2 linked regions of the Caenorhabditis elegans genome follow. The protein of the gene in region 2 purifies or fractionates together with the protein of the main gene of each other region. This does not show direct contact. Each region holds a gene or a part of one and is shown on either strand. Other genes may lie near its edges.

The links. The genes of interacting proteins can lie anywhere in the genome.
Region 1: the proteins of gpch-1 (region 2) and nduf-5 fractionate together in Caenorhabditis elegans (co-fractionation; one large-scale study listed by BioGRID). This does not show direct contact.

What each region holds. Positions count from the first base shown.
Region 1 is NC_003279.8:3,000,023-3,006,551, forward strand, and holds nduf-5 (NADH dehydrogenase [ubiquinone] iron-sulfur protein 5), read right to left. Parts: upstream 2,826-6,529; 5' UTR 2,816-2,825; coding exon 2,582-2,815; intron 1,574-2,581; coding exon 1,442-1,573; 3' UTR 1,338-1,441; downstream 1-1,337. Other genes in the region: dnj-28 (J domain-containing protein), read left to right, coding at 793-1,244; Y54E10BL.3 (CcoQ/FixQ family Cbb3-type cytochrome c oxidase assembly chaperone), read left to right, coding at 4,163-4,190, 4,241-4,324, 5,512-5,579; Dual specificity mitogen-activated protein kinase kinase mek-2, read right to left, coding at 6,007-6,181.
Region 2 is NC_003281.10:4,405,700-4,414,177, reverse strand, and holds gpch-1 (G patch domain-containing protein 1 homolog), read right to left. Parts: upstream 5,628-8,478; 5' UTR 5,614-5,627; coding exon 5,556-5,613; intron 5,512-5,555; coding exon 5,044-5,511; intron 4,443-5,043; coding exon 3,911-4,442; intron 3,696-3,910; coding exon 3,168-3,695; intron 2,917-3,167; coding exon 2,064-2,916; 3' UTR 1,971-2,063; downstream 1-1,970. Other genes in the region: mpc-1 (putative mitochondrial pyruvate carrier 1), read right to left, coding at 581-721; putative peroxiredoxin prdx-3, read right to left, coding at 5,830-5,919, 6,098-6,529, 6,576-6,734; RNA-binding protein rnp-4, read right to left, coding at 7,075-7,182, 7,490-7,735, 7,786-7,860; snfc-5 (SWI/SNF Subunit INI1 DNA binding domain-containing protein), read right to left, coding at 8,102-8,237, 8,286-8,468.

The sequences.
Region 1 (6,529 bases), on a different chromosome or scaffold from region 2:
TTTTCCTCATTTTCAACAGAAATTTTCAACGAAATTCAATGAAAATCGGATTTTTCATTCGGAAAATCAATAAAAGGAGGAAAAACCGTGCCGCGGGGTTGCAAAAATAAGCCCCGCCCCTTTTTCTGTGCGGCGCAGGTTTTCGCAAGCCTCCGCGCGTTATTTCCTCGTTTTAACAGAAAATTTTGACGAAATTCAGAATTTTTCATTGAAAAAAATCAATAAAAAGGAGGAAAAACCGTGCCGCAGGATTGCAAAAATAAGCCCCGCCTCTTTTTCTGTGCGGCGCAGGTTTTCGCAAGCCTCCGCGCGTTATTTCCTCGTTTTAACAGAAAATTTTGACGAAATTCAGAATTTTCCATTGAAAAAAATCAATAAAAAGGAGGAAAAACCGGTGCGACACGGTTGCAAAAATAAGCTCCGCCTCTTTTTCTGTGCGGCGCAGGTTTTCGCAAGCCTCCGCACGCTATTTCTTCGTTTTAACAGAAAATTTTGACGAAATTCAGAATTTCTCATTGAAAAAAATCAATAAAAAGGAGGAAAAACCGGTGCGACACGGTTGCAAAAATAAGCTCCGCCTATTTTTCTGTGCGGCGCAGGTTTTCGCAAGCCTCCGCACGCTATTTCTTCGTTTTAACAGAAAATTTTGACGAAATTCAGAATTTCTCATTGAAAAAAATCAATAAAAAGGAGGAAAAACCGTGCCGCAGGATTGCAAAAATAAGCCCCGCCTCTTTTTCTGTGCGGCGCTGCTTTTCACGGATTTATCGATCATCAAAATCTAATTTCCAGCAATCGCTGACTACGAAAAAGCCGAAGAATGGGATTCATCAAACGACGCCGTCCGAACTGGAAAAGATCAAGCAAAGCGTGCAAAGGAACTCGTCGGAAAACGAGATTACTACAAAATTCTCGGAGTCCGCCGGAACGCCAATAAACGAGAAATCACAAAAGCCTATCGAAAAATGGCTCAAAAATGGCATCCGGACAACTTTCAGGATGAGAAGGAGAAGAAGAAAGCTGAGAAGAAGTTTATCGATATTGCCGCGGCGAAGGAAGTTTTGAGCAATGAGGAGAAGCGGCGAGCTTTCGATAATGGACAAGATCCACTGGATTCGGAAGCAGGGAGGGGTGGAGGTGGAGGTGGAGGATCACACGGATTTCATAATTTCCACGGATTTAATCCATTCGGCGGTGGTGGTGGTGGCGGCCGTGGTGGCGGCGACTTTTTCTTCCATTTTTAATTTCATATTTCATTATAGATATAGATATTATTGTGTCATTGGATGTGTTACCCGGACTATTATTGATCTCTTAACTTGCTTCTTTTTTTTTTTATTATAAATCTTTTTATGTACTTAGAAAAGATTAAAAAGAAAAAAGAAATGAAAACTACAAAAAATAAGGCGATTTCTCTCGAAACTAAAGGCACTTCAAGTATCTAGTTGATACGATTCCACTGGAAGTGATCAGTCTTGAATTGTCCCGGTTCTGGATGATTGTCGACGTATGGCTTCGCGATTTTTCCGTCGAGGAACAGCTTGCAGCGTTGTTCACGGATGGCGTCAGCTCTCTGGAAAATTGTTTTTCGATTATTTTGGAATTTCATGTGATGTTTTTTAAAGGCGCACGGGTTTATTCAGATGGGTCTCGATGCGCAGAAAAAAGATTATGGTAGTTTTTTCTCTTTCAGGGCAAAAAAACTGGAGAACACACATTTAAATTTTTAGGAAAATCGAAAACCAAAAATATTCGATTTTATCAACAAAAAAAATCCAAAAGTTAAAAAACCAAATTTTTCAGAGTTTTCGATTTTTCTTTTCTTTAGAAATAGGAGAAAAATCGGAAAAATTGCATGAAAGAAGACGAGAAAATAAACTCAAAAATCAGAAAAATGAAGGAACATTTTTTTAAATTAGAATTTTAGAAATTTCCGGAAAATGAACGAATTTCGTAATGAAACTGCTCAAAAATTTTTAAAAAATTTTTATGGCGGTTCAAAATTTTGAAAAATAACACTGATTTTAGCTAAAATCACGAATTTTTCCCATTTTTCCGTGTCACATCTGTCCGTAGTTGGCTTTTTTGGAATTATCGTCCTTTATTACATATATTGGTAGTTTATCTCATTTAATTTCGTCGATTAAAGTACATTTAAAGCCGATAGGTAACCAAAAATCATCGAAATTGGTTACCTATCGGCTTTAAATGTTATTTGATCCACGAAATTAAATGAGATTAATTACCAATATATGTAATAAAGGACGATAATTCCAAAAAAAGCCAACTTCGAACAGATGTGACACGGAAAAATGGGCAAAATTCGAGATTTTAGCCAAAATCAGTGTAATTTTTTCAAAAGTTTGAACCGCCATAAAAAATTTTTGGAAATTTTTTGAAAAGTTTCATTACGAAATTCGTTCATTTGAGAACATTTTGGGTCTATACGTTCAAAATCGTCCGAACCGTTAGTCCTCCGTTAAAAGAATAAATTCAAGGGATCAAATTTATTTGGTTTTCACTAATTTTTTGTTTTTTAGTCCAATTTTTTTTCGCGACAGTTCTGTTCCGGATATCGAACCTTCTTCTGTTTATCCCCAGTGACACACTCCTGGAAGTCACGATGCTCGAGATCACAATACTTGCGTCCCATCTTTGCTCCGTAAGCCTCCATACAACGGTAGAATTGAGATTCAAAGAATCCGCAGATACGTCCCTGTTGGGAGAGTGGAACCGAAAGAGTATCGGTTATTGGAGCCTTTACGATTGGTGACAATGATGTGAAGTTCTCCGGATTACGGTTACCAGTTGCCATTGCGGATGTTCTGGAATTTTGGAATTTTATTATGAGTTGAGAAGCAAAATATCGATTTTTCGGTTTTTTTTTCAGAGATAATCAGAAAATGTTTTAGAAAAAAAAACTAAAATTTTAAAATCTGTGTTAATTTTTTTATGTCGATGAGGAAATGCATAAATAGGAAAAAAAACATTTTTCTCAAAAAAAAAGAAGAAAAATAGCTAAAATTTATAGACATGTTTCGAAAAAAAAAAATAATTTGTCTAAGTATCGGAAAATCGAAAAAAGAAACACACTAATATTACGGAAACGCAAAATTCTGAGTGACCCGCAAAATATCTCGTAGCGAAAACTACAGTAATTCTTTAAATGAATACGGTAGCGTCGATTTACGGGATATCGATTTTTTTTAAAGAAAATTAATTTTAATATTCAATCGTTAAATTAATTAATTTCAAAAATCGAGATCCCGTAAATCGACACAACCGCTACAGTAGTTATTTAAAGAATTACTGTAGTTTTCGCTACGAGATATTTTGCGCGTCAAATGTGTTGTGCAATACGCATTTTTAGAATTGTGTTCCCGTAATAATTTCAGAATTACCCAAAAAATCCTAAAATTAAATACTGTTTGGATAAAAAGGCACGCTACAAGATCAAAAAAGCCATGAAATGTAATTTTTGTTGAATAAATTTCGAAAAAATGCCTCGAGAGAAGAAAAATCATGAATAATCTCAAACTATCACGCAAAAAAAAGGAAAAATGGTGAAAAATCCCAGATTTTGGAAAAATTTCAAAAAAAAATTCCCAAAAAACTAGATAAAACCAATAAAATATTCTTCTAGAAAATTGCTTTTTTTTCAAAAATTCAACAAAAATTTTTTTTTTGCAAAACCTATTCGCAATTTAAGCTATTTTTCCTATTTTCGGTGGATCCCAGCAAAATTTCAGCAAAATTCCATCCATCTACTAATTTTTCCGCAAAAAATCGCCAAATTTTCCAAATCTTTGTATTCAAAAATTGTTGAAAGTGGATTCCAAGTTCAAAAAAATTTCGTCAATTTATTTTTTTTATTCATACTAACTTTTCTTCAGGAAAATCGGCTAATTTTCCGAATCTTTGCTACTAAAAAATTGTTGAAAATCCACAAAAGTCTTTTCCTCTTTCTCCCAGTTTATTCATTTTATTATCCGAGCTTCTCCCCCCCCCCCCTCTCTCGTCTTTTTCACATCTTTTTCGTAACGGAGGTCTCCTTTTCCGTTTTCTTCAACGCTTTTCGCAGCACACAAAAATCGATATCAAGCGCAGTAGTGTGTGCTCTTTCTCTCTCGGAGCAAGAAGGCAACTTGGGGCTCTGTCAAACATGGACGCCGTCTATAATCTCGTTGAATGTGAGTTAAATATATTAAATTAATTTCAACCGATTTTCATGAATTTTCAGCTGTTCACGTTTTTATTCCTGTCGTCGCGCTTCTCGTCTTTCTCACAGTTATTTATATTAATTCGAAAACTCCTGATGAGCCGGGTGAGTCAGCTTTTTGAATTTTGTGAGAAAAATATCGATTGACCCAGGCGTGTGCGGAAATTGCCGGAATTTTTCATTTTCGGCAAATTGCCTATTTGCCGGATATCGATATGACGGAAATTTGTAGAGCGATTTTTTTAAAACGGAAACACTCCAAATTGTGCCTTTTTAAAATTTTTTCCCATTTTTCGTTAGATATTTTCATAGAATTTTTAATTTTTTAAAATAGATGTAAGAACATTCATTGGATGCCTTTTTTAAAAATTTCTTTGCCTATTTAAATTGAAATTCTTCAAAAGTTCCAAAAAAATGTGCAAGGCCACAATTTGCCGGAAATTGTCGATTCCGGCAATTTGCCGATTTGCCGGAAAAATAATTTTTGGCCATCTTTTGCCAATTCCTTCTGTATTTAACATTAAAAATACTCGATATATATCTTTTTTTTTTAGATTTTCAGGTAAAAATCGATGATGTTTTTTTTTCTATGAGAATTTTTAGTTAGTTAAAAAATTTTCGATTTCCGGAAATTGATTTTTCGAGAAATATGTCAAAGTTTTGGTCATTTTTTTTTAAAATAAAATTATGTTAGATTTTTCTCATGAATATAAACAACATAATTTTCCAATTATTTTCGGGAAAATATAAAAACTAATTTTTTTTTCGATATTTCCAAAAAAACAAATCTATTTTTCGAGAAATCTCTCAAAATGTTGGTAATTTTTCGTTTTTTTTTGTTTTTTGAAAAAAATTGCAGGGTTTCCTATGCTTTTTCTCATCAATATTAGCTTTGCTCCGAGAAAATCCGAAATTTTATTTTTTATTTTTGAAAAAAAATTCGTTTTTTTTTCGAGGCATTTTCAAAATTTCGATAATTTTTTGCCTTTTTTAATGAAAAAATTTTTTTTTTCCTCAAAAAACAATTTTTTTTTTCGATCATCTCTGAAAAAAAACCGAGTTTCTCAACGAAACCCTTAGTTATAATAAAAAATAAAAGAAAAATGCAAATTCGGGAGCTTCAACCGACTATAAAAACCAACGAAAAAAAACTTAAAAATTCAAAAATCAAATCAAAATACTTTAATCTTAATCAGAAGCGGGACAGAAATGTGGAGGGAAAAATGGGGAAAAATCTACAAAGTAAATGAAAAATAGTCTAAACTAAAGAAAAAAAAGAGGAATACTTTCAGATACGGCGCTGAAGAAAGCGACTCAAAAAATGACACCGAAGGAGCCGAATGCAAAGAAATCGGATTGATCTCTCGAGATGGCAATTGAGAAATTGAAGAAATGCTCAAAAAACTGTGGAAAATAGAAAAAAAATCAAATATATCTTAAAATTTTGGCCATTTTTCTTTTTGTTTCTCATCAACATACACAAAATTTAATTTACAAAATTAAATTTTATGATCAATTTTTCGATTTTCCTTTTAAAAAATCGGCTATGTTTTTCGCCAAATCTGCCTAAAAATCACTTTTTTTAACAAATTTTTGGGCATTTTTCAATTTTTCCAACTCTAAAATAGTAGCTATTTTCTGATATAAGAATTATTTTTCTAAATATTTTCCATCACAAAATATCAATAAAAATATTGGCTCATTTCGTAGAATCACCCCCTGGAGCTGGAGCATCCTAGACAGTGAGAGACAAAGAGACATCGAAATATACAAAAATCCAAAATTAATTATGGATTCAACTTTGGTAGATTAATCGTTCCCTTCACAAAAACCGCGAATTCTCCCTGATCATCGTGATCTGCATATTGTGTGAAGAAGACGTCTGCGGTGAGAGATTTTAGGGTTGCTCGTTCACTTGGAAGTTTTCGAAGGCATTTCGACACAAATCCAATCACTTCGTCACTGGAAATTGAAAATTTTAAAAAAGTTAATAGATCATAATTATGTTCCTGATACCGAATATCAATTTGGAAAAATTCAAAAAAAATTTCCCTGATTTTATATTAATTTTTTAAATTCCGAAAATCCTCGGTTTAAATTCAAACGACAAAATTTGCATGATAACCGTGCCGCAGGTGTGGATTTACGAGATTAATATTCTTTATCTATTTTTATTTAATTTAATTTTTACCCCGATTTTCCTGATTTTTTTCGTTTTTTTTAAACATTGAAATTTAAGTTATTTCCCTTAATTTATGACTTTTTACTAATGAAAAAATCCAAAATTACATGAAAATATCGATTTCATAG
Region 2 (8,478 bases):
CTCGCAATAGGAGGTGTTTATATAGGGGGGACACAAGAGGCGGCAGACATCTCGTGAGTTTGACAGAGTAGTATAAAGAGTGTGTGTGAGAGGGTGTAGGCATTTCATAACATATTTTTTGTGGAATAATTTTGGAAAAAAGGTGTTTTTTTAATAATAGCTTTTATAAGAGTTTCTCAAAAATTGCATGCTTTTTTTGAAAAGGTTGACAAATTATAGTAGTACTAAAGTTGCTATTTTCAGGTCTCAGCAGAAAATTCACAACTAAAAATAAAATTTGCAAAACAGAGTGTGCGCCTTTAAGGTGTACAGTTTTTTATTCCTTTATTGCTAGTTTTTTTTGTTAAATTTTTGGGAAAATATATTTTATTTCATGTGAAAAAAATTGATTAACCTGCAAAATTTAGAAAAGCAAGAAAACATAATTACGACTACTGTTCTTTTTAAAGGCACACACATTTTCAGCACTTATTAAAAAAACCAAATCTGGCTATGGATTAAAAGCGCTTTTCAATTTTTAAACACCCAATACAAAAGTAACGTTTTTTCACCCTAACTTGTCTCTAAAAAATGCAGTTACCTTCAAATCTCCAAGAGCAGCCAACGGAAGTCCCCAGTTAGCCACTGGTCCCCAAAAATGAGTTGACAAGAAGTAATGCTTCCATTCGGCGGTGGAATGTTGCTTGAAATATGTCGTCACTTTTGATATAACTCGAGACATCTGGAAATATGAATTTTTAGGTTTTAAGCTTTTTAAAAATATGTTCGAAAATGTTCATTTCGCTGAAATCGCGTGAGAAATCAAGAAAAAACGTCCGATATATATTTGGGTTTGATAAGGAACAAAAAGTGATAAGCAATCAAATCAGTATTTTTGTTCAATGATGATAAAATAAGGAAAACCCTCTGTAGAGAATTAGAGAAAAATGGATGAGAGAACGAAAATAAATAATTGTTTTTGTCAGTGGCTAAAAGATGATATTGATCTTTTTGGTTCCATTAGAAGGTTTAATTTTGATTTTTCAGAAATTGTCTTTAGGTTTTAAATTCAAAAAAAAATTGAAGCATGGCCGTTAAATTATGAGACTTTTGCTCCAAAAATACTATACCGGGTCTCGACACGACTAATTTCTGTTGAATGAATCGGCTTTTCATAGCTTTTCGATAAAAATATGTTTTCAAATTAAAAATTGAGGTAAAACAATAAAAACAGAAAAATTCGAAGAAATAATGAGATCTCATTATTTGTTGGATTTGAGAAAACAATGAAACATTTTTTAAAACTCAAAAAACAAAAGTTTGAGAATACAGTACTCTTTAAAGGCGCACACCTAATCCCACTCAACAAAATCTTCGTGGCAAGACAACGTGTCGATTTACGAAGCTCGTGTACTCCTCGAGGAAAACTGTGTGCATTAATTTATCGCGGATAGCTTTGTTTTTAGCCAATAAACTTGATTTTTAACCATTTTCGCTAATTGTTTTATGTATAAAACATTAATTTACCAATTTATCCCACATTTATAGTATTTCATGTAAAAAACCAATGCGTTTACTGCTGAAAACTACAAAAAAACTAGAAATTGTAGTTTTTCAGCATTAAAATTTGTTGGGTTTTTTTTCTAATTAATTTTTCTAATTTTTCAAATTAAAAAAGGTTTTTCAAATGCAATTCAAAAAATGTTTCTAAAGGTGCCGGTTAATATTTGCAGACTGAAAAAATGGAAAACAAATTGTACTAATTTTTAACAGAGAAAGCATCTGAAAAACTAAAATCTTTGAAAAATTGAAATTGAAAACTCATTTCTGCTCGAAAAATGTGACCTCAGTGCACGAGTTCGCAGGAACCAAACCTCACAATCCTTGAGAGAATAGAAAGCGAGAGAAATAGAGAACGAGAGATGCAGACAATTTAACTGGGGACAAATAGCCACACGGGAGGAGAAGGATAGTTCAGACATCACTTTGAGAAATTTTATGTTTCATTTTTACAAGTCGAAACCATAGTAATATATGATAATAAATAAATAAATAAAAAAAATTAACAAAATGTTTAATTCAGATTATTTCTTCTCCTCCCATCCATCGGAATTATCACCGGAATCGTCGGCACTAGACGAAGAATGTTTCCTCTTTGTCTTCTTTTCTTTCTTGCTCTTTTTTGATTTTTTCGATTTCTTCTTCTTTTCCTTCTCCTTCTTATCCTTTTTCTTTTTCTTCATATTCTTTTCTAAAAGTTTCAGTACTTCCGTTTTTGAAAGAACTGGTTTTGAAGATGGAGGAAGAGCTGGACCAAATGAAGATGCAGAAGTTTCATCAATAATCTGAATATCATCATCTTCCTGTTGCTTTGAAACTCTCAGCAAATCCCTATTTTCTAATTCTTTTAATTCTTTTTCCACTCGTTTTCTGTTCTCCTCCTCTTTCTTCTCAACTATTTCCCTTCTTCTTTTCAAATCCTCTTCTCTTTTTTTCAGAATCTCTTGCCGTTCCTTCTCTTCAGCTTCTTCATCTTCACTATTACTCTCATCTGAGTCTGCACCGTCTCCATCTCCAAAAATGAAATCAAAAAACGATTTTGGAGCTTTGTCTACCTTCTGATTGTTAGGCTCGGCTTCATTTTCCTCTTCTTCATCAGAATCCTTATCATCATATTCTTTCTCATCGTCATCATCTGATTGATTTCTTTTTTTCTCTTCTGCTCCTCTCTGAGCTCTCGATTTCAGAAGTCGCTCCCTCATTTCAATTTCATTTGCAGTGTTCGGAAGTCCCAACGTTGCCGAGACTCCACCAATATCTGCTAATCGATCTTTCCGCTTCCAATCAGTCTTCTGAAGAGCTGGAACTCCGACAGTGTCTGATCCAGGATATGGATGGGGAACATTGAATCGTTTAGCGAGAAGATTGTCAGGATACCTGAAAATTTAAAAATTTCTACATTTTTCAAAGGGACTAAATGGCTAAAACTAGCCCTAAACAAAAAAATTTCATAATAAGAATTCTCAGAAAATTTCTAAAAAAAGAGCCAAATATTGTAAAATCCGAATATTCGTCATCTTGATCTTGTTGCAGCACATACATTTTTTTGCCTTTTTTCGAAATTGTTTTTTGAGAAATCTCATTATGAAATTCGGTCGTTTTAGATGATTCTCAATTTAGAAACATACCAATCAAAGCTTTGCCTCGTTTTTTCTCCAAACATTTCCATTTTCACAGCGGCTAATTTATCCTCATCCTTCGTTCCAACTTTCAAATCACCGCCAGCTTCTTTCACAAATTTCGAAGCCATCATTTCATGAATCGGCGCTGCTATGGCAGTTTTTGCAAGTGGCTGAGCCCTGGATTGTACTTCTGGAAGCATTCCCCGTTCGTCAGATGTCAATTTTGACTCGAATTCTTTCTTTTCCCACTCCCACTCCCAGACAGTCAGATCAGTGGGCTGAGGGTACGGTAGACCACGTCGAATATAATGAAGAAACTCTTTAAATCGAGCTTGTCGCATAGGCTCATCAGGGAATTCAATTCGATTCCGTTGTCGTCGATCCCGATCTTCTTCTGCTTCACCACCACCACGCTCATTATCACGTTTTTCGACTTCATTTGCCTTGATATCCCATCGACTTCTTCGTTCTGTCGGTTTTTTGGAACTTTTGCCTCCAATTTCAAGTGCATTCACGCGATCTTCACCAAGGAATCTGAAATAAATAAAGTTCAACAAAAATATTCTAAAATTGACCGAAATTTAATGATGAGAATGGCCAAAAAAATGTTCCAAATAATTTTCAGGTCAAAATTCTCGGAAAAAGCTGAATCGATTTACGTTTTAAAAACCCGTAAACTCAAACTTTAGCAAATTTCGGAAAACAAAAAAAAGCGAAAAAATATGAATTATTGTTAATTTAAATCATACTTTGCTCTTTGCTCCGCATTCATATGTTTTACATCATTCTTCATCATTTGTGGAAGTTTCGAGATATCCATTGGAATCGGACGATGATCGCCTCGAAAATTCGGCGGAACTCTTGGAGGAGCATAGAATTTTCTTGGATTAAGCCTCTTTGGCTGTAATTCAAATGCAGTAACCAATTTCTGTGTTTTCAAATTACTCTCTTCTGATGCTCCAGCTACATCCAATGAAAAATCAAATTGCGAGAGATCATAATTCGAATAAACACTTTCATCTTCTTCTTCAAATGCTCCAACTCCGAATGCTTGTCCTTTTATTCCTTTGCTATTTTTCTTTCCGGATTTCAAAGCCAAAGTTGTTCTACCGTATGACTCATTAAGTACAGTAGTCTTACGAAGACCTTGATATCCTATTCCATGAGTTCCAGTTAATGGGGTCAGTTGTTTGACAAGAGCATCTTCATTCGAAAATTCGTACGCTGGAGCCACCTTTGAAGCTTGCTCGCGGTCGAATTGGGCTTCCGACGACTCGCCGCCTGGAAAAATTAATTTTTTTTGAAGGAATTGATTATTTGGTTAAAGGAGGATTAATCGATAAAAATCTTGGTTTCTTGGACTCAAAATGGCCCAAAAAGACCGAATTTTAGCACGAGAATCTTCAAAACTAATTTTTTTTATTGAAAACACAAACCGAATTTTGCCAAAGCGTCTGGGAATCGATATTTATCTAATTTTTTTTTGGGAATTTAGGTACATTTGGACCAGATTTGATCTCTAAATGTTCTTAAATCCACGAAAAAACGCTAGACGAACAACTTTGAAACACAGAAAAAACAACCCAAAAAAATTCCGGCACGGAAAAGTTGACGAAATTTGTTAAATACCGCCATAAAACATTTTTGAAAAGTTTCGGTGAGGACTCCGCTGTAAAAAATTCAAAATCGCCTCAAATCCATCCTGAAAAACCACAAAGAAAACACGAAAAAATTGCCAAAGAACGAAAAATCGCACTCCTACAAACGAGATTTTTCTTCTTTTTTTGCGATGTTTCCCTTTTTCCATTATGGATTTTAAGAATTTCAGACTAATTTAAACTTTTTTTGATAACTCCTCCTTCAATTAGATATGCTCTCGAACCTCTCTTCTGTTTCTGTTTAACATTTGCCAATCCGATGCCTCGTCCTTCTCTCCATCCCATTGATCGGAGCATCCGTACTCCTATCGAATTACTAACAGGCTTCACAACATCCTCAAACATCTGAGTTATCGTTGAAATACTTGTCGTATCCCGTTCCCAAGCCATTTTCCTTTTCTGTCCAGCTCCTTCACCAAATGCCGCAGTCTGTTTTATCGATCGATTCCCTATTCCATATTCTCCAAGATCTTCTGCATCCATAAAATCTTCAGCTCTTTGTTTTATTTGTTCTCCACGTTCATTCCGAGATGATGAGAACACTTGAGGAACCCATCCTTGCTTTGATCCAACTGTATTCCAATAACCAGCTGAAAATCCTCCAGTGAAGGCTCCATGGAATCTCCGTTTTCCTTTTTCATCTGTTGCTATCTCTTCGTGGATTTGAGTTGGCTTTTTTGATACAGAGCTTCCTGAAATTATTTATTTTTTTCCTGAAAACTGTAAAATTGCAGACCTTCTTCGTCATCATCTTCGAATTCCTGACCATATGCTGCTAATTTTTTCCTGTTCATTTATTTAGAAAAATCTGAAATGAAATTCACATTTTTTTCCAAAACTTTTTAGGAAACAAAAATCAATATTTTAATGGATTTTTCTGAAACCGTATATTTTCCAAAATTAATTTCAAAAAACTCGAGCTGAATGACACCTATTTATTTAAACCGACAAACTAAATCATCAATATGATAAATACAAAGAATAAAAATAATTGTTCTGTTTCTGTGTGATCACTTGTTGACCTTGTTGAAGTATTCCTTGCTGGTAGCGACTCCTGGCTTGATGGTTGGAGAATCCTCATGCCAATCAGCTGGGCAAACCTGAAAAATTAATTTTTTATTCGTCGAAATTTGTTTTAATGGACTAAAACTAGCCCGAAACGACCGATTTCCTTTTCAACAAAAATTTAAATATTTTTATGGCGGGCCAAAGTTTCGGAAAAAAAACATTGCATTTTTTTTGCTAGAAATTAAATTTTTTGTAAATTTCAAAATTCACCTCTCCGTGCTTATCAGAGAATTGGAATGCCTTGAGCACTCTCAAAGTCTCATCAACAGATCTTCCAACTGGAAGATCGTTACAAGTAGTGTGACGGACAGTTCCAGATGGATCAATGAGGAAAAGTCCACGGTATGAGAGTCCGGATTCCTTGTCGAGCACACCGAACGAGTCGGCGATCTTCTTGTTGAAATCAGCGAGCAAAGGGATGTCCATATCACCGAGTCCTCCGTCCTTGCGTGGAGTGTTAACCCAGGCCAAGTGAGAGAAGTGAGAATCACACGAGCACGCGACAACTTCAGCTCCAAGAGAACGGAACTCGTTTGCACGATCTCCGTATGCGATGATTTCAGTTGGGCATACAAAGGTGAAGTCAAGTGGATAGAAGAACATGACGAGCCATTTTCCTTTGTAGTCTTGATCAGAAATCACCTGGAATTAATTTTTGAAAAAAATATATATATTTGTTATTTTTAACCTTGAAGTCTCCATCAACGACAGCAGTTCCTTTGAAAGCTGGGACAGTATTTTTTGGTCCAAGTGGACGAAGTGACAAAAGAGCACGAGATGTGCTCAACTGGCGGGTGGCAACAGTAGGAACCGTGCGGCAAAGAGCTCGAACAGCAGAAGAAAACATCTGCAAAACTCAGATATTCAGAAATCTTTTTTTCCAGAATTTGATCTACGAAACAATTGAAGATATCAAATCGTTCCAAACTGGTTAACGATAAAAAGAAAATAGCAACAGCAGATAATTGAAAAATGGTCATTTTATTCACTGTTATTGCATGTGTCACATAGATAACAAAAATCGCAAAATTGAGAAGAGCGAGCGAGTTGAGACCAAATAGATATTTAAAATTTCGAATGGTAAATTGGGAAAGAGGACAAAAAATAAATAGAAAAGGAAAAACTTAACAGTGACGTGTAAAAAAACATAAAACGTGGATTGGAGAGGACAATTAAGTACGTGGTTTTCAGCGCTTTCCAGAAGTCTTCTTTCCCTTGACGAAGCACCAATCGACTTTGACATTCTGGCCGAGAAGATCTGTATCGTTGCTCTGATCAATAGCTTCGTTGGCTTCCTGGAAAATAAATAATTTATATTGATACCAGCCGTGGACCGCACCTCCGGCGCGGCCCCCCACTTCTGGGGCTGAAAACTAATTTTTCTGAAACTACCGTAACCCTACAGTATTCCTACCGTACCACTATTGTACCACTACAGTACCCCGACTATATCCCTACACTAACCCCAACTCACTATCCCCACAGAAGCCAAAACTTCACAGACTACAAAGACTACATAGACTACAAACTATGGACACACAGAATAAGCGCTTTATATATAGTAAATGATTTCGATAGAAACGACGACTGCTAAAATATTACCTTCTGCGTTTCGTACTCCACCAGTGCGTATCCCTTCAAAAAACCGGTTCGTCTGTCGAGATTCAAATGAATGTTCTTAATTTTTCCGTACTCGGAAAACTTGTCATGAACATCATCTTCTGTTGCCTCTTCGTGAATGTTTGTCACGAAGACAATCCATCCTTCAACGGATCTTTGTGGTGCTCCGCTTGTGGCAGACGACTCTTCATCGACCACGTCGTAGGTGATCCTCTCGCGATTGCGACTCTAGAAAAATATATTATTGATTATTGATTACAAAATTCGACAAAATTTACCTGCGCAAGTCCTCGACCTCTTGATCTCTCGGCGTTGGCCACCACATCCTCCATCTCTACTTCGTTGTCGCTCATTTTTCTCTTCAAGCGATTGAGACGATCGGGCTCTGAAATTTTATTTATTTATATTTTCAGTTAGATCATTCAGTTTGAAAACCGCCACAAGTTCCTATTGGAAAGAGCAGTTTACACGAGAAAATGTAGAGAAAAGATCGAGGAAAGAATAAATTAAAAGAAAGTGCACATTAAAAATATTGAGATAAAATGGTTAAAATTCGTTAAATACAGGTTGATTTCGTAGAGATCAGTAGATACTTCAATAGTTGAATCCACCGCCAACAAGACGACGCATTCTTCTCGTGTTTCTGTCTTGATCACGCATCTTCTTTTCGATTTCAGCGTCGGTTAAAGTTTCGAGGAATGGACCCCAAGATTCGACTTCAGATGATGTTCTGAATAGCATTGGTTTGCAAAAATTCATTATTTCATATCAAATTTACCTGAACGGGCAATCAACAGTGGCCAGTGGGCTTTCTGAAAACGCATATGTTCTTTGATTCCATTGTAACTGTCCGCGAATTGAATATGCAATTCCTGACATAAATTCACCACCGAGGCCAAGCTCTTTGCAGATGTTTCGTGAAAACTCTTCCGGGCTGTTATTAGGATCCGACATATCCCACCTGAAGTTAA